3 linked regions of the Lonchura striata genome follow. The protein of the gene in region 1 binds, or shares a complex with, the protein of each later gene. Links are inferred from orthologs where the notes say so. Each region holds a gene or a part of one and is shown on either strand. Other genes may lie near its edges.

What was found.
Region 2: CENPA (region 1) and CENPC share a complex: the UniProt entries of both Homo sapiens proteins name them as parts of the CENPA-NAC complex. The link is inferred for Lonchura striata from reciprocal best matches to the Homo sapiens genes CENPA and CENPC.
Region 3: the proteins of CENPA (region 1) and NTMT1 are in contact, whole or in part, in a crystal structure (PDB 5CVD), measured with the Homo sapiens proteins. The link is inferred for Lonchura striata from reciprocal best matches to the Homo sapiens genes CENPA and NTMT1. Residues at the interface, in NP_001800.1 of Homo sapiens: Gly2, Pro3, Arg4, Arg5, Arg6, Ser7; in NP_001273725.1 of Homo sapiens: Tyr19, Trp20, Met30, Leu31, Gly32, Tyr34, Ile37, Trp136, Asn168, Ile175, Asp177, Asp180, Asp212, Glu213, Ile214, Tyr215.

The regions. Positions count from the first base shown.
Region 1 is NC_134623.1:6,098,937-6,106,515, reverse strand, and holds the start of CENPA (histone H3-like centromeric protein A), read right to left. Parts: upstream 3,039-7,579; coding exon 2,963-3,038; intron 2,076-2,962; coding exon 1,984-2,075; intron 794-1,983; coding exon 716-793; intron 124-715; exon of another isoform or gene 117-123; coding exon 1-116. UniProt on the Homo sapiens protein: Histone H3-like nucleosomal protein that is specifically found in centromeric nucleosomes. Replaces conventional H3 in the nucleosome core of centromeric chromatin that serves as an assembly site for the inner kinetochore.
Region 2 is NC_134606.1:44,828,979-44,836,835, reverse strand, and holds the start of CENPC (centromere protein C), read left to right. Parts: upstream 1-4,762; 5' UTR 4,763-4,855; coding exon 4,856-4,870; intron 4,871-6,158; coding exon 6,159-6,205; intron 6,206-7,241; coding exon 7,242-7,303; intron 7,304-7,627; coding exon 7,628-7,716; intron 7,717-7,857. Other genes in the region: UBA6 (ubiquitin-like modifier-activating enzyme 6), read left to right, coding at 1-19, 1,283-1,418. UniProt on the Homo sapiens protein: Component of the CENPA-NAC (nucleosome-associated) complex, a complex that plays a central role in assembly of kinetochore proteins, mitotic progression and chromosome segregation.
Region 3 is NC_134624.1:3,651,039-3,658,505, forward strand, and holds the start of NTMT1 (N-terminal Xaa-Pro-Lys N-methyltransferase 1), read left to right. Parts: upstream 1-4,379; 5' UTR 4,380-4,433; intron 4,434-4,585; exon of another isoform or gene 4,586-4,647; intron 4,648-4,714; exon of another isoform or gene 4,715-4,731; intron 4,732-5,366; 5' UTR 5,367-5,426; intron 5,427-6,198; 5' UTR 6,199-6,239; coding exon 6,240-6,401; intron 6,402-6,550; coding exon 6,551-6,803; intron 6,804-7,183; coding exon 7,184-7,440; 3' UTR 7,441-7,467. UniProt on the Homo sapiens protein: Distributive alpha-N-methyltransferase that methylates the N-terminus of target proteins containing the N-terminal motif [Ala/Gly/Pro/Ser]-Pro-Lys when the initiator Met is cleaved.

The sequences.
Region 1 (7,579 bases):
GCTCCTCGCAGGCGCCGGACCAGCTGCAGATCCTTGGGGAACAGGGTGACTCGGCGGGCGTGCAGCGAGCATAGGTACGCGTCTTCCAGCATCCGCACGATGAAGGCCTCTGCCGCCTGTGTCCTAAAAGGTGAGGGGGTGTCCCCAAAGCCCCCCAGCAAGCTCCAACCCCCACAGCTCTTCCCCCAGGCAGAGAATGCCCCCCCCAAAACACACACCCAGGGGGCAGGGTTCCTCCAAACCCACCCACAGGTAACTGGGGGGACTGAAACACCCAGTGCCTGTAAATGTGTGCGGGGACACCATCACCCAGTGACCCATCCCCAGTCCCCAACAGACCTCAGGAATAAGAGAACACCCCCACCCTCTCAACATCCATGGAACCCTGTCCAAGAACCCATAGACCCCCCCCCAGCCAATGGAGATTCTCCTAGACTCCCCCTCAGCTCCCACCACACATACCCAACAAACCTCTCAGCCTCATCCAAGCACCAAAAGAGACCTTCCTGGACCTCCCAGCCCCCCAGAGACACCCCCAGCACCCACACACCCCCCTGCAGCAGCCACAGAACCCCCCATCCCCCATGTCCCTTCTCAGCACCCATGAGATCCCCCTCAGCCCCCTCCCCAACCCCTAGTTCCCTGGATACCCCAGGAGGACCCATAGGACACCTCCAGCCCCTCTGTGAACCCCCTCCACCACTCCAACCCCTACCTCCTGCAGCGCCAGCAGGGCCATGCGCTGCCAGCGGTAATCCACCCCGCGGGTGAAGAGTAGGCAGATCTCCCGCACCTGCGGCAGAGAGGGCACGGGGAGGGGGCCACATGGTGGCATCAGGGTCACAGGGAGAGAGGGGACATTGGGACAACATGGATGGAATATGGGGGCATTGGGGACATCCCAGGCTGGGGCCACCACCATGGCGACACCCTGGAGACATGGAGACGCTGCCCTGGAGACATCCCAGGGACCTGGGGACACCCTTGTTATCACCCTGGAGACACTTTGGGGACACTCCAGGTACAGGAACACAGGGGACAGGAACCCCTGAGGATACACTGGGGAGTGGGGATGTGGGAACACCATGATAGGGACACCCTGCAGAGATCCCAGGTGGGAGGCAGGGGGGAAGCACCACTCTAGGAACATCTTGGGAACACCCTCAGCCATGGGAACATGTGGACACTCCCCTGGAGACACCCTGATCGGACAGAAGGGACAGTGCCAGCACGGTGGGAGGGGCACAGGGAGCACTCAATCCATGAAGGTGGCAGGTCACAAAAATGTCAGGAACCACAGAAGGATATTGGGGGATATGCAAGGATGTTGGGGGAGGACAGGCCCACTATGTCATGAGGACGGGGAGGACAAGGACATGGGGAGGGCTGGAACAGGGTTGAGTGGGGGCCCTGGGGAAAGAGGGTGGTCCTAAGGAGTCCTGGGGGTGATCTGGGGTTCTGGGGGGGGTAACTTGGTTGGTCTGTACGGGGTTGCAGGGTCCCAATGGGTTTTAGGGAGGGGGTCAAGGGCAGGTTGGAGGGTTCCAGGCTGGATTTCAGGGGGCCTAGGGTGGATTTGGGGTTGGATTTTAAGGGGTCCAGTGGATTGTTTGAAGAGTCCCAGTGGGTATTTGGGAGAATCCTGTGGAGAGCTGAAGGGTCCCAGAGTGGATTTAAAGGCTCTGGGGGAGGTTGCAGGGTCTGAAAGTGTTGATCTGGGATGGATTTCGGCATCCCAGAAGAGGGGATCCAGAGTGGTTTGGAAGATACCAGACAATGTTGGCGGTTCTAGGTGAAATTGGGGGTGGCCTGGAGGGGTTTGGGGGTCCTAAAGTAGATTCTATGGGTATCTGGGATGATCTGTGCAGTCCCAGGGGAGTTTGGGAGTCCATGGGGGGCACTGGGAAGGTTCCGTGGGGGAAATTGCATTGTCTGGGGATTTTACGGCAGGAGTGTTCATTTTGGGATGTGGGGGGTCCTTACCAGGCGGGCGAAGGGGCCGGGGCGCAGCAGCAGGCGGGTGCTGCTCTGGTACCTGCGGATCTCCTGCAATGCCCGCTGACCTGGGCGGAGTCCTGCAGGGGCATTGGATAGGGGTCTGTGAGGGCTTTAGCAGATCTGTTTGGCCTGGGGAGCACAGATGGAGGGCTCTGAAGGAACATGGGGGGGTATAAGAGATCCATAGGGCCTGGCAGAACACAGGGGTCTCTATGCGGGGGCCTATAGGGGCCTAGGGAACAGGGGAAAGCTGTGGAGGTTATAAGGGATCTGTAAGGTCTGGGGGGACATTGCAGGTATGAGGGATCTGTAGAGAGCTACAGTGATGGCCAATATAGGGGAATTATAGGGGACAGGGAGTATGAGGGGTTTTGAGGAACAGGGTGTAGGGGGTTGTAGCAATGTATCTGAACAACTTGGGCCTCAGTGTGCACCAGCCATACCACTTGTAACTGTTCTTACCAGAATTTTCTCAGGAATTCATAAGGTTACTAAGGCATAAACTGTGCTAAAATAAGAATGAAGAAGCTGAGAAACCACAGGATCACAAGAACTAGATAACAGAGAACTGTAGAACACCTGCATGGTAACAAATAACGGAAGCTGAGAAGTGGAGGCAGAGAATGAGGGAACAAGACAAAGGCACCAATCAATAAGTGTGATCTTAGTTGTTTGTAGAATCTATAAAAGTGTGTGCAATGTAAAGAATATATGGCTTTTGCTTGGTCATACTGGTCAGTTGTTTAGGAGTCTTGGTTGACAGGCAATAGAGAGCTATAGGGGAGAGGGAGTGTGGAGTGACTATAGTGATGGAAGCATATAGGGGTATCTACTGCACAGGCTAGGGACGGAGGACAACAATGGGGGAGTCCGTAGGAGTGCTCTGGAGGGGGGTCTAAAAGGGGCTCGATGTGGGAGGTCCACAGGGGGTGTCAGTAAGGGGCGTCCCCTGCCCCTCACTCACTGCGTGCCCGCGGCCGGGGCGATGGGGGGGCTCGGGGAGCGCCACGCCGCCGGGGGGTGGGTTTGGGGCGGGGCATGGCGTGGCCGAGTCAGCCGCAGGGTCAGGGCGAGTCCAGGCGTCCGGCGGGGCTGGCGGAAACCTGACGGCCGGGGAAGGGGGAGTCAGGGCGGACTGAGGTGTCTGGGGCCACTCCCGGGTCCCCCCAAGGCCCCCCTCCCTCTCCCTGCCAATGACATTGCGCCCGGGATCCGCCGCAGCCGCCCAGTTCCAACCTCCCGCCGCCCAGTTCCAGCCTCCCGCCGCCCAGTTCCAACCTCCCGCCGCCCAGTTCCAGCCTCCCGCCGCCCAGTTCCAACCTCCCGCCGCCCATTCCAACCTCCCGCCGCCGCCGCCGCCCCGCTCGAGCCTCCCGCGGCAGCCGCCCTGTTCAAATCTCGCGCCGCCGCGGCGCTGCTCGTGACGTCACTTCCCTCCGCGCGTCAATCGGGCGCGCGACCGCTCTGCGCCGCCGGCCTCCGCGACTCGATGGTGCCGCAGCTGCTGGGGTCATTAGCATAAATTTGCATGACCCCGGCCCGGGCACCCCACGCCTCGGTGCTCCCAGGGTAATCTCTGTTACCGTCCCAGTGTGATCTCCGTCACTCCTAGTGTGGCTCCCGGTCATCTGCGTAGCTCCAGTTACTCCCAGAAGAATCCCAGTACGATTGCAGTCCCCTGCAATATGATTCTAGTGCTTTCCAGTCACTCCCAGTGTGAGTCCAGTATGATCACAACTGTGAAAAACGCCAATCACTTGGTTTTTAAAATTTTAAAAGTTTAATAATAATAAAATTATTACAAATATAGTAATACAATTAGTGTAATAAAATTTAGAGTTAGGACAATTACAAGACAATAAAAAGCAAAGAATTATGGATGTGTCCGGATGTTCTTGGACACTAAGTCACAAAAAGCATGCCTTGTGAACAAAGGAATAACTGTAAAAGCATAACCTGTTGCATATTCATATATCTCATACATGATGCATAAATTCCTTGCAAATTAAGAACTTTTCTGGGTTTTGTCAGCTTCTTCCCCTTAATCCTGCTGGTTCCATAAAGATGGAGAGAAGGAGGAAGAATGTCTTTTCTGACAAGGAGACAGTAACTCTTTATGGGCCCCAAGTCACTGTCATCTCTGTGCGAAGAGTTTCTTGATTATCTCATCTCCTGCTTGAGCTAGTAAAAAAATCCTACACCTCAGAGTTTCTATTTTAACATTATGTTGTAACCTAAAACTACCTTTAACGCACTACTTAAGAGAACTAATACAGCATAACTTTCTAACATTACACATATAATATTCATTGGAACATTTGCAAAAAGCCAATCATAAAATCACAACAACTACTCCCAGTATGATCCCTGTCACACCCCCAATGGTCCCAGTCAATTTATGTCCATACTAGAATGATCCCACTATGATCCCAGTTACTCCCAGTATGATCCTGGTTGCCTCCAGTGGGGTTCCAGTCACTCCCAGTATGAACCCAGCATGGTCCCAAGCCGTCCCCTCCTGTATGATCCTAGTTGCCCCAGTTCTGGTCCCAGTACCCCCAGCATGATTCCGGCATCTTCCATTTGCTCCCAGTGTATTTTCAGTTGGCTCCCAACATGGTCCCAGTAGCTTCCTGTGCCTCCCAGTACCCAGTGGGGGTCAGTCAAGGATTACAACTGTTCATGAAACCCATTGGGAGAAGCAGATTGGGGCATTAGTGAACCCATGGTGGCCCAGGTGGGCTTTGGGGTCTCTTGAGGGTATTGCAAGACCTCCCAGTTTACCCAGAGTTTTCCCAGTGAGCCACCACACTCCTCATTTGACCCCATCAAGCCTCCCAGTTGCCCCTAGTTGTCCACCCGGGCCAGTGTTGAACAGGACCAGCCCCAGCACTGAGCCCTAAGGAACCCCAGCAGTGCCCAGCCCCAGCTGGCTGGGCCCCATTCCCACCCCTCCTTGGCCACCAGCCAGGTGTTCCCAGCGAGAGGCACCTGTCTCAGCTGTGACCTTCAGGTGTTCCAGGGGACGCAGGGAGATGGAGGCAGTGCCAAAGGCTTTGCTGAGCTTCAGGCAGACACACCCACACATGTCCAACACCCACTGGGGCCACCTGGGCATAGCAGGAGATCAGGTGAGTTAGGCAATACCTGCCTTTCCCAAGCCCTGGCTGTTCCCAATGCCTGTTTCATGTCTGTGCCATTTGTTCCCTCAGGGAATCTGTTCCAGGGATGTTCCAACAACAAGGCCTGAAGTTTGCTGGATCCTTCTGGCCCTGGTCTCAGTGGCTCCCAGTCACCTTCAGTATGGTACCGGTCATTCCCTGTATGATCCTTGTCACTCCCACTATGATAATAGTATGATCCCAGTGTGGTCCCAATTGCTCCTATTTACCTCCAGAATGAATCCCCTTTCTCACTGTCACTCTCCAGCATTTGTTCCCTGTATGTTCCTAGTTAGCCCAGTTATGATCCCCGCTGCTCCCAGCATGGTCCCAGTCGCTCCTAGTGCCTCCCTGTGGCCAGTGGGTGTCAGTTGAGGGTTGCAGCTGTCCATAAAATCCATCTGGGGAAAAAAGGACACTCAAGTGATGCGGGGGGATGTTGTGGTTTGACACAGAATGGAATTTTTACGAAAGGAAGAGGGTCAAGCCAGTCAGTGATTGGGGTTGGATATTGGCATTTGGACTGCCAATTGAAGGCTGGACATGCCTATGAGGACACAAAATAGTTAAAAGAAGAATTCCCAAGAGAACTTGCTTTTTTTTGTTCCGGTCAGAGTGCAGTGCAGGACTCTCCCCTGCCCAGCCAGGTGTCTGGGTGGGGGAGAGGAAGTCCTGTAGCCTGACTTAGGTAAGGCCGAAGGATGGAGGGACTGGAAACGGGCGGGCCCCCTTCAGATGGAAGGGTGGAGGAAAATCTGGGATGTCTGCGTTCCCCCCAGAGTCTCTCTGGAGAGAGAGAGAAAGAGACAGAGACGGCGTCAGTCAGCAGTATACCGCGGGGAAGGAGAAGAGCTGGGGGTCGAAGGAAGGTGCCCAGCCATGGGAGCTGGAGATCTGGGCAGAGAGCCAGGTGTCTGGGGAATCTGAGACTTTTAACCCTTCCTTGAGAAATGAAGCTTTGTGAAATATTACTCCTCCTTGATTTGAAAGAGAAGAAGCGAGACAGTCTGGGACCCAAGATGTTAGGAGAAATTCTAGGTGGGAGGAGATGATGGAGTGGCTTTTGGCTGGACTTTTTCTTGTTAACCATAGACTGAACCAATTGTCTTCTCCAAGAGAGACTGTATTTTAGGGGGATGTCTGGTGAACCAAGAGACTTGTTTCAGTGACTACCAACACTGGAGTGGAGTGAACAGAGAAGAGTTGAGGAGGGTGTGGTGATGCCCTCTGTCTTCAGAAAGAAGATGATCTCTGTTCTTGAGACCCTCGGCCCCAGGGGAGAAAGAAAATGGGGGGGACTGTGGTCCCAACAATGAGAAACTGAACTGTTGTTTTTCTTTGGTACTTGGCAAAGCATCCTTGAAAAGAAAACCCTACCCTATGAGCAGTCTGTCCATCCATGTACGGTGGTGAGGGTGCTGTGCATGGAACGGAGTTGTCACCGTGGCAATTTTTTTCACCGGGCGGTGCCATGTGTGACATGGAAACACAAGAAGTAGCAGTTGTGTTTCTTGGGGGGCGTCTATGGCACAGGAGAGACTCCTCTGTCCCTCGGTGGACTGAGTATTGATTATCGGAAGGGTGGGAACCTGACTGGGGGTCCAAGTTGTGTCTCACTGTGGTTGGTTGGAATTGGGGGAGGGAGGAGGAATGTTTTTGGAAGGTTTTCATTTTTTTTTAAATTTAGTTTTTTTCTTTCTTTTTCCTTTTATAGTAGTAATAGTTTAATGAAGTTTCTCCTTTGTTATTAAGCTTGGGCCTGGTCTGCTCTGTTCCTGATCGTATCTCACAGCAAATCATTTGGGGGTTGTATTTTCATGGGGGCGCTGGCAATGTGCCAGTGTCAAACCATGACAGGGGATATGGAAAGACATGAAGGCACTGTCCTGCTGTGACCAAAACTGCAGGAAAAACAAAAACTGTCCAACAACATTTCTAGTTTAAGAGAATTAAGGCATTACTTTATTCTGGCCAGGATGTTGCTCTGGCCAGAATGTGCAACAGAGATAATTTCATCCACACATTGCCTGTGTTGTGCAGAGAAAACTATTCCATCACACATGGTTCTTTACTAGATTTTTCACATACTTACACAGTCAAAACCCAGAAAAATTAACTGGTTCAACGTTCATTGGCCACAAGTTACACAGTTCTTTGTATCTGGTTTCCTATTGGTTATTGATCCCTTTGCCTTCAGCGCTCATTAGGTTGTCATTCTTCATTCTCTTATTGATCTTTTCTCAGACCAAATGTCTCTGACACACCATTAAGGATGTTTGGATGCAGAAGGTCACTCCTTTCTTGAGCATCCTCTGGCAGGTCCCAGTCCATTGAGATGTCAAGCTCGTCAGGCCTTGCCCGGGGAACAGAGTCTCTTGAAAAGAAACTTCCATTCCCTTCCCCCTGGGCAAAGACCCCTG
Region 2 (7,857 bases), on another chromosome or scaffold:
TCAAAAGATTAAAGTTGACGTAAGTATAACTGGAAAGTGGATTTAGGGATGCAAGTGCACACACAAATTATGTTCATTGCTTGTATCAAATGGACATATGTCTGACAGCAGTATTTTCTCTCAAAGTGGTTTCTAGCCATTAATACTTTGGAAAGAAAAAACACATTTGAAAGAAAAAAAGATAATTTATTACTTTTTGTAAAACAAACAGAAAAAAAAGAAAATAAAAAAGAGAAGGTGAATTAACTTCTGTGATGAGGAAAGGAGACTTGCAAAATGCTTCTTTAACTGTTGAATACCAGAATGAGAAAGCTAAAGAAGTCTGGCAGTAATTCTTTGGGGGGAAAGAATGTACCATGGTTCAAGCAGAACAAGACTACTAGGACCTTTTGAAACTGGCTTAAAACTAATGCTAGTATTTAGCAATTTAGCTCTGAAGGAATAATGTATTGCTTGCAGTTTAAGATTTCTGGAAGTCTGTTCAATTATAGTAATTGCTTGAGATTCTACATCACTTTAGCCCTTTTAAGAATGATGACAATTACAAAGGCTTTGCTATGCTGCTTACAGAGAGGAAATTGAGGTGTTTCACCCTGGCAGTTTGGCAGGATGTGAAGGCAGGGCATTAGTTTTGACTGAAGGCCTTTGCAAAATAACAGCCAGATCTCACCCAGTTTAGTCCTGCCTTACACCTGTGGGTTGAACTACTTTAGCTCAAAATCTGTTCCTTACAGCTCCTGTGAAGTGTGTGGTAGTGTTCACAGGCTTTGCTGGAGCAAGTGGATGCACTGCTCAGTACTGTTTTGAAGGCCTGCCAGTAGCTATAAGGGAGAGATGTATGAGTAAGCTACTTCAAACTCCTGGGGAGAGAAGAGCTGCTAAGTTGTAGAGTTGCTACAATGAGAATTTACAGCGTATCTCTAAAAATGTTGCTTATATGTTTTCTCTTACAGCTGTATAAATATTTTTGAATGAGTGGGGTATGTAATGAAGTCAAAGCCATGGTATGAAGCTGCCTTCTTGTGAATATCAGGATTTTTTACTACTATGGCACTTTAATGGGCTGTGTCTGTCAGGAAAATGGAATACTGTTTGCTGAAGCTCAGGTGGAGGAACAGCTTTTGTGTGTAATTCAGAGGTGGTTTATTCTCTGTTTTAATTTGGTCTGTAGTATGCTGGGCTAGTACATATTGCTGGCAGTGAAATTCTTCTGGGTCTGGCCCTGAGTTCCCATTGTCAATCCTCTTGGTACATTTATGAACTGCTCTTAATTTCTTTATAGGATGCAAAAGCTTGTGAAACCATCAGCTGATAAGAAGTATGTGGATTTGACAGTATCATTTGCTCCAGAGACTGATGGAGAGGAAGACTTGCCTGGGCCACCAGTGAGATACTACTTTGTTCAGGAAGACAATTGATGGTAGAGACACAAAAGTCACTCATGGACCATTTGTTCTGAAAGGAGTGTGCTAATTTTTAGCTATTAAAGATGGTACTCTATATTTCTTTTTGGTGAAGCCTTAATTAAATGGTGAAAATCAGTGGCTTTGCACTGAAGACAAACTGGATTTGTTTCTTCTGCTCTTGTATTCTTCAAGCCTGTTTGCTCAAAGGAGGATTGGTCACTCCATGAGATGGAATGTCCAGTACAGTCCTTAGCTTAAAGGCAAGATTTGTTCTGAGGAAAGCAAGAAGAATGGTGAACCTAAGAAATGGTCCCCATGTGCAAATTAGGTAATTTGCATTTTCTTAGGGAAGAGTGCAAAAAATAGGAAAAGCACCATTTTATGATACTCCTGGTGTTCTAAGAACATCTCAAATTCATTTCACATGTTACACCATTCTCAAACAAGAATTTCATTCTTGCCATCTACACATAAGATCCATCTGAACGGCTTAAACTCCCACTCAAAAGCAGAGGAACTGCTTTCTTGTGTGGCTGCTTAGTGGTGCTGTGGTCAGCACAGCTATCTTGTGTCAGTCTCAACATGGAGATGTAGGGAGGGGGTGTGAATTGTCAAAACACCCTGAAGTCCAGAGAGCTGGAATTTTTGATTATCTGCACTAAGACTGTTCTTTGTGGAATACTGCAGTATGGGGAAAGTGAAAGCCTATTGGAGAGCCAAATTAGCACTTTCAACAATAAAACTTGGTCTTCAACAAAGAGAAAATGTGGTTGAGCCTTTCTGCCCTCACCAAATTAAAATCACTGTAGCACTTGATGACGTTTAAGGCAGAAAAAAGACAAATGGATGTTTGTCAAAGCAAACTTACCTCAGCTGTTCCTTTTGGTACTATTTCCCTATAGCAAATTGTTGTGCTGTATACCTGTCCTCAGAACAAGTCTGAGCTGCACTGAACCGTGAGGTCTTTACCCTCACTGGTTAGTTATTGGGATGTGTAATTATAAAATTTCTGCTTAATTGGAAATCATTATGGACTAGTTTTGCTTCTGTGGTGAGGCAGAGGTGTGTTACAAAAACATAATCATTTAAGTCATTTAAGCACTGAGTACTTGAGGTTGTAGTTCTTTTTTTCTCCCCATCACAGTAGAGCAAGGCAAAATTAAAAGAAAAACTTACAAACTGAAATACCCTCTCATATGTTTCAGCTTTAGAGATTGTTATTTAACATTATATCCTGCAGCTGTTGCAAAAGCTATTAACAGCTTAGCTGTTTATCCTCAATCATAGTTTATTAAGCTTTAGGGATGTCTTCACATTTAATGTAATGATGTCACTAATTAGCGCTAAGGATCACATAAAGGTTTAGGTCAACAAGAAAAACTGTCACCTCTCACAGCTGGAGGCTGGGAAACAAATGAAACTTTGAGTAAGTATATTCTCTTACGTTAGTGTGGTGTTAATGTCATGCTTATGCTTTTGAAATAAGCAGCATTTAAAAATAGTAAAGTCTTAGTACTGTTCTAGAATGCCATATAACTGTCCTCAGGGTTTAAAGTAAACTGTCAGATATAATTAATGCAATGGCTTTTACTAATCACAACATGTACACCTTTGAGAGCCTTGTAAAAAGTCCAGGTCAAGGCTGGCAGGGATCACAGCCGGAAATTGCAGATATGGCTGTATCTTTATGCTGCTCTTATTGTGTGTGTCATGGATGGATGGATGCTCTGTGGATAGGTTCTGCTTAGTTAAAAAGTTGATTATGGAAAAAGTAAAAATTCACAATGGCTCTAGATATTTATTAGCACACCTTTAAAATTTTTGGATGTAAATTAATCTAGGTAAAATCTCAGAACTAGTAACTTCAAGAGGACTTTCTGTAGAAGAACTCAGCATGTCAAGTGGCTCATTAAACCTGTTATTCTTGCTTTAAACCTTTTTGAATTGCTGATATGGAGAGTGAAGGTATTTATATGGAAGATTGTGGAGTATACTGATTCAGTGTGAATTTGTGTTTGATAGAGCCCGTTTCTCAATCTGCTCCTGCTTTTTATCAAAAATCTCTGCAGGTGCCCAGCACGATCACACTAAAAAGGCCCTGGGCAAGCGAATGTTGGGTTGCCAATCTTCAAATCTTCAATGTTGTCAGTGTTACCACACTAGAGGCTTGTAGTATTACCTAGAACCTGAGAACTGCTTTATTTATTTATTTAGTTAGTTTAGGTTTTTTTTTTTGTTTTTTTTGTTTTTTTTTTTTTTCTTTTTTTTTTCTTTTGTGGCAGTGAAAACTTGTATTAGTCTAGGACTGTTTGATGCACAATTCCAGTGGAGCAGCTGAAGCTTGCTGTCTTCCTGCAACAATGAAGAACTGTCTTTCCACAGAGCACTTCAAAAAGCTTTCTTTCAGAATGTTATTCTTTGAGAGAGCAGTTGATTTGCAGGAATTAAGTTTTATATCAGTAATTCAGCTCCTCACTCAAATGCCTTCTTGAAGTTTGCTCATATGTACACCAGCTTTCTCTAAATTTCTATCACTGTTAATAGATAAAGTTAATTAATTTGTGCATGCCCGGTTGCTGCTGTGCGAGACCGGCTCCGGGCGGGCGCCGGCGGGAGGCTCTGCGAGGCTCAGTTCCAGCGCGGGCACACGAAATGGCGGCACGGGCCTCGGGTGCAGACACGTGTTCCCGAGACCGCGCGCACCGGCCCGGCGCCGGTTACACCCCGTGCCGGGGCGGGGAACCTGAGCCGCGGCCAATGGGACGGCAGGCAGGGGACAGGGGCAGGGAAACCCCGGGGACAGCGAGGGGAGCGGCGGGGGGCAGGGACCGACCGCGTGGCGAAGGGAAAGGCGGGAGGTGTGATAAGGGAACGCGCGGGAAGGGGGGAGGGGGGGGAAGAAAAAATTGCAAACCCCGCACCCGGTATTAAGCAGCCAGATCAACTGTTCTCTGATTAGTCATCATGTTTCTTTAATGTTAGGAGTAGTGAGGATTCTGTGTGAGGGTCTCAATACTGTTACCAAGACTGCTGGATCAGATGGATTTAAGCTTTTGTTAGCTATACCACAAGTAAAAAGAAAAAAATGCAACGCGCCGTGGTGACAAGGAATGCTTTGTAGCGTTTGGAAACCCGAGGATTTTGAGCGTTTCCCACCGGCGAAGTAAAAGAACGGGAAGCATCGCCCGCCCGTCCCCTCGGAGAAAGGCGGCCAGGAGGTTGGGGGGGGGCGGGGCTACGGGCGCAGCATCTGCTTGTGCGCAGGCGCGACAACCGCGCGCGCCTAAATCACCTTCCCTGCTTGGCGCGCGGCGGCTGCCGACCAATGGGACGGGGCCGCGGAGGCGTGGCCGGGATGCCGCCGGCCGTGCGCGCGCGCGCCTGCCCGGCGGGAAGGGTGCGCGAGGTTCGAAGGCGGCGCGGGGAGCGCGCTCCGGCCCCGGTCTGGTATGGCGCAGGCTTTGGTGAGAGAGGGCGGGAGCGGCCGCTCTGTCTGTCCGTCAGTCTGCCTCTCTGTGTCTGCGTCTGTCTGCTTGTGTCTCTGTGTCTGTCTGTCTGGTTTGTTGTGAGCGGCGGCCGAGCTCGGCAGTAGCGCGGAGGCGCGGCGCTCGGCTCGCTCCTGAGGGGAGGGGCAGGGCGGGTCTTCCCCCTGAGGAGAGCGAGGCTCGAGCTGGCGGCCCGCGCTCGCTCCGGATCCGGGCGGTTGGCACAGGCATGCTGGCTGCTCCGTCGGGAGCCCCGCTGCCCTCAGCGCACCCGTGTCCGTGCCAGACCCCGTTCCTCCCGGGCTGCCTCTGGAGAGACGACTGCCGCGGGACGGCGAGCGCATCAACAGCAGGACACTTGTGCCGTCACCCTAGAATCGCTTAAGTTTTAAAATTCTTCATGTGTAGCGCGACACGAACACAGTAATAAATGAACTGTTAAAGGCTCTTTCAGGCCCTTGACAGGAATATTATATTTCTTTAGTGAGCAAGGTCATTTGCTCGCTCTGCTGCGAAGGGAAGGGGGTTTACGTTTATGCTCGAGTGCTGGGTTGACTGCGGAGTGTGCTTCTGTATAGTTTCTGAAGTGGTGTCTTTTGGTCAGTTGTTTTCCCTGTCACCTGTTTCCTTCTGCCACTTTAAACCGATGTTGAAAAATTGCAGTGAAATCAATCCATATAGAGTTTGATTATTTTTGATACCAGGAGTAATATCTAACGGGGAATTACAGTGAAGTGCCAAGTACTGTCAGTATGGCAAACTTCAGGAAAACGTGCCAAATTATTAGATAATTGCATTACTCCACGTTGTATATACTCTAAATTTACACGAATCAGGAAGAGGTTATAGTTGTTTTTCGGCTAAACATTTACATTTTTTAAGGTATTTTTGTGACACATTTGTGAAGAACTACACTCTGCTTTGCTGTTGAATTTTTCTTGCCCTTTATTCCTATTTTATTCTCTACAACCATTGCTGGTTCCCAGGTTAGTGGCTTTATTTGATTATACAGAGAATGTGTTGCTGCTTGAATTATTACTGCTTTAATTGTGGTAAATGGCGGGAGTCCTGTCTGCTGTTTGAGTTACTGGTTTTATATTTGGGTTTCAAGTGTATGAAGAGGCACTGTGGCATTCTAAGAAAAACAGTGCTGCAATAACTCCCACTCTCCTACTACTTCAAAATGTCTCTAGAATCCTTGAGATCTGCTTATTTATTTTTCAAGTGCTATCATGCTTATTAAAAATGGATTCTTATTTCTTCACAGAATCGTTTAAAAAAAGACTACAGAGCAAGGTTCTGCCATGGAGGAGGGTAATTTGCATTTTAAACAACCTATTCTTAGATTCTGGAAAACTTACCTTGACTTTATCTATGAGCTAAATGTCAAAACTACTTGGTGTACCTTATTAAATTGATCGTATGATGTTTCCCAAATTTCTTGTATTTCTTAATGGTAAGAGGAGCAAGCTCTGTGGGGGCACAAGGCTCCAAGGTTTTTCTTCGCTGAGGCAGCAGATTGTGGTGTAGCTGTACACCTGTGTAGGACCCCTGACTGGGCTGCCTGAGTAGGGAAGCAGTTATCTGTGCAAACGTGTAGCCTTTCAAGGAGTAGAGAAATTAAGCCCAGGCAGAGTTCCAGCATATTTGGACCTTGCTGCTAAATGTTAGGGATGAGTTTGAGGATTTGCAGTACTGTGATGTTCTTTACATGTGTCTCTGAAGACTTTGTTGCTGAAATCAATTTCTGGACATGCATCTCATGAGCTTACCAAATGTATACATTTTGCTGTTTTTAAAGGTATATCATGATCATTATAGGTGTGTTATTTTGGTTTTGATCAACACTGGCTGGTGAATCACTCACTTCTGCCCTTTTCATTTTGTTGGTCTGAAATAATAATCCAACCAGCTGAGCTGCTCACTTGCTTATGGATACGATACCTCAGGCTTGGTTCTAGGTCTGCTGCAACTGCACCACTGTGCAGGCAACATAGCTCCAGATATGATTAAAAAAAAAAATAAAAAATTACTTAAGTGAGGCTCTAGTCAGCCTAAAGCTCATTTACCTCAGGGCTGTTGCAGTAGTTGCGTGTTTTCTTTAATGTAGAGAGAATTCTTCGTTCTTATTATAATCTGTGGCAGTGAGGCTTTTTTTCCTGGAATTCCTGCTTTGACAAATTTCTTTGCAGATATGTATACATAGAAATTGTAGGTAAAAATATATTAAAATTTGAACTAGAAGAAGTAATAACCTAAAATATTTAGAAGTAAAGCTTTGCTACTTTAGTATTTGGGATAAAAGCATTTAGCATTTTTGATTGAAAATATTTTTCCCTCTTCTTTCTAGAAATAAGATTGATCTACAGCCAGGTCAAAACGTGTTGAAGGTCATACAGGATTGTTTTGAAAGTAAGCTCTTATTTGGTGTTTTGCTTGATTTGCTGCTAAAAGAAAAAATTGTTTTCTTCCTTGTGTTATTTAGTGGTAAGTACATAGAAATAAAAAATAGGGATAAAATGGAAAAAAAAATAGTATTTCTCAGGATTTTTAAGAACAGCCCCTTCTCAGCTTTTTAAAACTGTATCTTAGCTCTCTTATAATCTCTTTCTCAAGTAGCTGATTACTTTCTTGTTTGAATTTACATGATCTTAGTGAGCCTTAGAACTTGTTAAAATAAATAAAACCTGGACAATTCCAAGATTCCCATATTTACTGTTTTTTTTTTCTTCATAGGTTGTAGCAGTGATCTTACAACAAACTCTCCAAATTGCTCAAGCTTTGTTTTGAAAGATGAGAAGAGGACTTCAGAATCAAGACAAAGTGTAAGCTCTGTCAGTGTCATAGTGTAGCACTGGATACAGGTTCATGTGGGTACAAGTTAAATTCTGCAGCATTTAGTTCTGTATGAGCACCTGTAAAAGTATGTAGGCTATAATTTAACGATCTATAATAGTTGTTGAAAA
Region 3 (7,467 bases), on another chromosome or scaffold:
GAAGAAGCCCCTGCTGGTACCTGGAGAAGGACTGGCACCAGGGCTGGAAGGTGAGAGGTGACGAAGGGACCTCTGCTGTGTCTCTGAGTGCTTTGGTGGCTCTTGGCAGAGCATGGAGAAGCCCTGACCTAATTTGTTCTGACTTCCCAAGCCTTGGCCATGGCACAGCAGAGCTGGCTGAAGGAGCTGGGCAAACGTGGACACGGGGCAGGTTTGGCCAGGGTTGAACCCTGCTGCCGAGGCAGAGCAGAGGAGATGGGAACATCCCCTGTGGTTCCCAGGAAAGCACCTCAGGGCTCCTGCCATGGCCTGGGAAGTTTCAGTGCTCTTTTAATTGCCATCAAAGGCAGCAAACGGGGCAGGAGGTGCCCACCTGGACCCGGGTTAAACGGCACCGAGGGAAGGGCTGTGCTGGCACTGCAGGACCTGCCTTACAAATCACCTGCAACAACATGTGCTGTCCTGGTCACCTCCTCTCAAAAATGATAGTGCAAAATTAATTAGAATTAATTAATCAGAAAAGGGTAATAAGGGTGATTAGGCACCTGGGGAAAAGGAAAAAAAAAATATTCCTGAAGAGCAATCGCAGCACCATGATTGCCTTGGAAGGTGGCGAGTGAGTGGGAGCAGGAGGGAGGGCGTGCAGGGAAACAAATGGGCTGGAGAGAGGGGTCTGGGGGTGTTTTCTGTCTCGTCACACAAGGAATTACTGAGTGACAAGATTGAAACCCGTCAGAGGAAAAGCATTTCCCAGCAGCAGTGACCACGGGGAGGCAGCTGAGCCCAGGAAGGCACGGGCGGCTCTGCGGCGTGGCTGGAGCTGTGGCTGCTGCTGCCACTCTTATTTACAGATTTGGCTTTCCACAAACTGGCCCCAAGGCTGGACCTGCAGAGAGTGGGACTCAACAGGGAGTCCTCAGTGCTGGGACCCTCATCCCCAGCTGGGCTCAGAAACATGGCAAGCTCAGGGACACTCAGTTTAGTTTTCCTTTTAATTTTCAGCCACACTCTGCTACCTTAACGAAATTAATAACAATAATAGTATCAAATCAAAGGAAACATTTGCAAAGAAGACCTGTCCCTGATCTAAGGCAACTGCTGCAGATTTCATTGGAACCTGAGCGGCCAAAGCAGAGCCCCAGTCCCCGGAGGGGATGGAGCACCATTCCATTCCTGCCATCATGAAGGGTTTTGGCAGTAGGGAAGAATGGAGGAGGTGGATGGGGCTTAATGGAAAGAGTCTTCAGGAGTCCCAGCGCAGCTCAGTGAAATAAAAGTGCCTCTTGTTGGGGAAGCAGAGACAGCAAATACTGCAGGCACCATGGAAGACATGTGGCATGGATGGGATGCAGGTGCCCATTGCCTGCTTGAAAACACAGGTGACAACTGGAGCGATGCAACGGCTGCTGGCAGCTTTGGCGAGGGGCAAACTGCTGGGTTTGGGTCATTCAGGTGCCCGTGCATGGGGACACTCACCCCCCTGCACCTCCCAAACACCCCTTCTACCTGTGAGCAGCAAGGCGCCACCACCTAGCGCTCAGTGTCCCCTCCCTGGTGACAAAGAGCCTTGTTTCTTTAAAATATAAAAAGCAAACTGCAAAAAGCAGTGCTTTTTGTGCAGAGATGCTCTTACTGTGTCCCCTGCTCTGCAGTTGACTTAACACATGCTCCTGGTGTCAGCACTGAGCCCCCAGCTCAGGTCACTGCTGTCCCCAGCACACTCGGGTCCTTTCACAGGGACTCAGGGCACCTGGGAGCCCGAAAGCTGTCCCAGGCTCTGTTTGCTTGCCCAAAGGTGGCGACTCCATTTCTGCATATGTCCCATGGAAGGATGGCAAGGGGCTCTATCCCTGAGGCCATGTCCTGGTTGTGCCATGGATTTTTGGATGGCCATGGGCTGAGCAGCTCTGTTTTGGGGACAGCAAGAGTTGTTTGAGCCATTAGGACATTTTGAGAGAGGTAGGTGCTGGGAATGGGCCCTGGTCCCCCTGCGCCCATGCAGGACTGACCCTCTGGTCGCTGCCCTCTGACAGGTTTGGGTGACTGCAAGGAGGTTTTGTCCCTGCAGGTTTTGTGAAACTCGGTTTCTGGGGAAGATGAGGGAAGGACTCAGGTCATACCAGAGAGCAGAGAACCCACACCAGCCTCCATTCCCCGCAGACACGACTGTGCCAAGGCAGCGTTGTCACTGTCACTGTCACTGTCACTGTCCCCACAGCAGTCCCCTTCCTTGGGCCGTGGGCACCCCCAGGTCCCGTTAACCCCGTCCTGCTGGGGGTCCGAGACCCCCGGAGGGGAGGGGACACGGCCACGGCCGTGCGGAGCCGCCGGGGCTCGGCAGCGCTGGCACGGGAGGGCGCGGGGAGCCGGGACCCGCGGGTCGGTGGGACCGGAGCCGGCAACGGGCACAGGGGGCACCGCTACGGGAAGGGATGCGAGGGGCCGGTGCTGGGGCTGTCAGTCGGTACCGGGGGTGTCGGTACCAGCTGTCTCGGTGCCGGCTCTGTCGGTACCGGTGTGTCAGTACCGGGGTGTCGGTACCGGGGTGTCGGTACCGCAGTGTCAGTGCCGGTGTGCCGGTACCGGTGTGTCCGTACCACGGTGCCGGTGCCGGGGTGTCGGGCTCTGTTGGTACCGGTGTGTCGGTACCAGGGTGCTGGTACCGGGGTGTTGGGCTCTGTCGGTACCGGGGTGTCGGTACCGGGTGTCGGTGCTGGTGTGTCATTACCGGGGTGTCGGTACCGGGGTGTCGGTACCACAGTGTCGCTGCCGGTGTGTCGGTACCGGTGTGTCGGTACCACGGTGCCGGTACCGGTGTGTCGGTGCCGGGGTGTCGGGCTCTGTCGGTACCGGTGTGTCGGTACCACGGTGCCGGTACCGGTGTGTCGGTGCCGGGGTGTCGGGCTCTGTCGGTACCGGTGTGTCGGTACCGGGGTGCCGGTACCGCGGTGCCGGTACCGGGGTGTCGGGCTCTGTCGGTACCGCGGTGCCGGTACCGGGGTGTCGGGCTCTGTCGGTACCGGTGTGTCGGTACCGGGGTGTCGGGCTCTGTCGGTACCGCGGTGCCGGTACCGGGGTGTCGGGCTCTGTCGGTACCGGTGTGTCGGTACCGCGGTGCCGGTACCGGGTGTCGGGCTCTGTCGGTACCGCGGTGCCGGGGTGTCGGGCTCTGTCGGTACCGCGGTGCCGGTGCCGGGGTGTCGGGCTCTGTCGGTACCGGTGTGTCGGTGCCGGGGTGTCGGGCTCTGTCGGTACCGGTGTGTCGGTACCGCGGTGCCGGTGCCGGGCTGTCGGGCTCTGTCGGTACCGCGGTGCCGGTACCGGGGTGTCGGGCTCTGTCGGTACCGCGGTGTCGGTACCGGGGTGTCGGGCTCTGTCGGTACCGGGGTGTCGGGCTCTGTCGGTACCGGTGTGCCGGTACCGGTGTGTCGGTACCGCGGTGCCGGTACCGGGTGTCGGGCTCTGTCGGTACCGGTGTGTCGGTACCGGGGTGTCGGGCTCTGTCGGTACCGCGGTGCCGGTACCGGGTGTCGGGCTCTGTCCCGCTCCCCCTCAGGACGCGCCGAAGTTCCCGCGGCGCAGCGGCGGGACAACAGCGCCCCCTGGCGGCCGGGACGGGGCACGGCGGGAGGGGACGGGACGGGACCGGGACAAGGACCGGGACAAGGACCGGGACAAGGACAACGGCGGGACAGGATCGGGGCTGGAGCAGGAGCCGGGACGCGGACACCCCCGCGGCTTCTTGTTCTGGCGACGCCGGGTCCCGTCACCCCGGTGCCAGCCGGCCGGGCTCCTGGGGTATCCTGCCCCTCGAGAACCGCGCGGTACCTGCGGGCTCCCCTGGGGCTGCCCGGTCCGCCCCAGTCCTTGCACCCCTGTTCCAGTCTGTCCCAATCCATCCCAGTCCGTCCCAGCCTATTCAAATCCATCCCAGTCCATCCCAGTCCGTCCCAATCCATCCCAGTCCGTCCCAGCCTATTCAAATCCATCCCAGTCCATCCCAGTCCGTCCCAATCCATCCCAGTCCGTCTTGGTCCGTCCCAGTCCCTCCCAATCCATCCCAGTCCATTCCCAGTCCGTCCCAGTCCGTCCCGGTCCATCCCAGCCCATCCCAATCCATCCCAGCCCATCCCAGTCCATTCCAGCCCATCCCAATCTATCCCAGTCCGTCCCAGTCCATCCCAGTCCGTCCCAGTTCATCCCAGTCCGTCCCAATCCACCCCAGTCCGTCCCAATCCACCCCAGTCCATCCCAGTCCGTCCCACCGCTGACCACCCCGGTCCCCGGCCCGGAGCGCCCCCGCGCGGGCAGCAGTGTTAGAGCAGGGCAGGGCCGGTTCGTGACGTCACGGTGACGTCACCGCCACGCCGCCGCCTGGTTGGTCCCCGCGGCCGCCGGTCCCGTGGGGGCGCAGCGCGCGGCCGCCGCCGGAGGTAACGGGGGGGGCCGGGGGTCGCGGCCGGGCCCGGGGCAGCGGCGGGAGCGGCGGCACCCCGGGCACCCCGGGCACCCCCGGGCAGCACCGGCGGCCCCGGGCACCCCGGGCACCCCCGGGCAGCACCGGCGGCCCCGGGCAGCACCGGCACGCCTCTCCACGGGCCGCCGCCGCAGAGGGCGGCCGGCGGAGCTGCCCGGGCCGGGGCCGGGGTAGGGCTGCCCCCGTGGGCGGGAGGCGAAGGGGCCGGGTCGGGCCGTGCAGCGGGGCCGCCCCCTCGCCCCGCACCGGCTGCGGTAACACCCCCGGGCCCGGGTGGGACCCCCGAGCCCCCGCGGCGGCACCGCCTCAGCCCCTCGGCCTGCGGAGCCCCCCGAGAGCGGCCCCGGGCTCGGGGCCCCGCGCTGCGCTGACCCCTCCGCGCCGTGACCTTCCCCCGCGGCCGCGGCAGCCCCGGCCTGCGCTGCCCGGCTGCCGCGGGCACCGGCCGCGTGTCGCGGCTCCTGCGGCAGCACGAACGCTCGGGTTCGGGTTTAGGTTCGGGGCACTGCGGCTGGGTGCTCTCTGCGTCTGCTGGCAGCCTGTGGCACCCTGAGAATGAGTCCCCAGGGACTCACCGAGCCAAAGCCAGGCCAAGGAATGGGGTCACTGCCGGGAGGGTGAGCCTGGGTCCCAGCCCGTGAAATCGGACAGGAGCACTGCTCAAATTGGAGCACAGACAGGGGCGCTGGAAGAGAACCCTCCATGCACTGGCTACACTCATGGCTCTGCCTCTGAGCTAAGGGGCAGCAGCAGCTCCTGTCCCCCAGCCTGCTGGGAGTGTGTCTGTGGGGCTGGGCTGTCTCTTACCTGTGGTTTCCTGGGGCCATGGTCAGACTTACAGGACTAGAAGGGTGACTGGGCACTTAAATCCAATCTTCTCTGCTCCTAGATCACAGTGTAGACTGGCTCCTGGCACCACTGAGCCAAACTGGATTTCCACCGGTGACCTGTAAGTTGAGATGCCATGTCCCCCTTTCCTATCCCTAGGCTGTTCGAGGCCACGTGGGGCCACCAAACCTGTCTAAGCTGCCATAGAAAAGGTTTTGTGTCTAATAGGGTATTTGCCAGCAAATTCAAGCCACAAACTCTATATATTTCTTTATTTGTAAAGGTGTTTGAAGTCCTTGAATTTACCCTTTGGCCACCTTAAATCTAGTTTCTAATCCCCAGCGCAGTTAATCAAATCCATAGTGGTTTGAATTATGAGATGCCTGGGGGGGATTTATAGCCTGTATTGCTGATTATACCTTGACTTTATTATATTGCAAATATCTAACTTATGGTCACGGCTGAGATTTACAATCCTCAGGTAGGTGCTCAGGATAACTTTTAGCAACTCGAGATGTAATTGGAGGTGACTGATGGGGTTGTCGCCACACATAAACCTGGAATCTGTACAATGTTAAGGCAGGGAAAGGAGAGGCAGAATAGGTGAAAAGGGTGGGTCAGCCTTAAAATATAATTGTATAATTACGTGTATTGCTGAGCAAGGCTCTGCCATGGCTGTTCTGGCTGAGGCATCTGCCCAGGGAGTGGTTTTGGGCTTCTTGGTCTCCAGAAAATACCAGGATTTAGATCTTTGTTCCTTCTTGCTCTCAGCTGAAGGTTTTTGTAGTTTGCAGTAGCCCTGGGGAGGGGGAAGGGGTGATAAAGGTGATAAAGGTGTGGGGTACTGGCAGAGCTGACTCATTCCTGGCTGGTTTGGGGTTCTCCCACCCCAGGGGAGCAGCGAGTCCTGTGCGGGCACGTGCCCTTGGCCAGCATGACCAGCGAGGTGGTGGAGAACGAGTTTGAGTTTTACTCCAAGGCAGAGAAGTACTGGAAGGATGTGCCCGCCACGGTGGATGGCATGCTGGGGGGCTACGGCCACATCTCCAGCATCGACATCAACAGCTCCAGGAAGTTCCTGCAGAGGTTTCTGCGGGTAGGTGGCACAGTTTGTCGTGCTCATAAAACCCCACCCTACTCCCAGCGTGGAGCTGGGCTCTTCCCTCTGAATTGCTCCATGGGATCCTCTGTGTGGTTGTGCCGTTTCTCCTCTGTGGGATTCACCCCTCACGGTGGTTGTTGCAGGATGGCCCCAACCGGACGGGGACAACCCGTGCTCTGGACTGCGGGGCTGGCATTGGCCGGATCACCAAGCGGCTGCTGCTGCCCCTCTTCAAGACAGTGGACATGGTGGATGTGACAGAGGACTTCCTCACCAAGGCCAAGAGCTACCTGGGAGAGGAGGGCAGGCGAGTGCGCAACTACTTCTGCTGCGGCCTCCAGGACTTCAGCCCTGAGCCAAACTCCTATGATGTCATCTGGATCCAGTGGGTCATCGGTGAGGGTCGCCGCTTGTGGGGTCTTTCCAGCCTGTCCTGTTCCCCTGAGGGGCAGGTACCCTGTGCACTGGGGAGAGCGGCTTGAGGTCTGCCTGGAGGATGAGGATCACAGCAGGGGTGGGGGCCTGGGGCGGGCAGTCGTCCCCCATCCCATGGAGGGGCCCTGTACTTTTCCCCCCAAGCCCTCAGAGGCCAGAGCAGAGATGTGGGTTGGATGGAGTTGAGTAGTGAGACACAAGCTGGACACTCCCAAGCTAAAGCTGTCCCTGCAGACGTCTCAAGTATTTGGCCATTTGGATCTGGAGGGATCCCAAATGCAGCTTCTGTGTTTCCTCCCCTTGGTCAACCCTGCCCTCTAACCCCTGCTCTGCCCCTCCAGGACATCTCACTGACAACCACCTCTCCGACTTCCTGAAGCGCTGCCGTGCCGGCCTGCGGCCCAACGGCATCGTGGTCATCAAGGACAACATGGCTCAGGAGGGGGTGATCATGGACGATGTGGACAGCAGCGTCTGCCGGGACCTGGACGTGGTCCATAAGATCATCCGCAGAGCTGGGCTGCACCTCTTGGCAGAGGAGCGCCAGGAGAACTTCCCTGATGAGATCTACCACGTCTACACCTTTGCCATGAGATGAGGGCAGCAGGAGAAGGTCTCTCCCGTG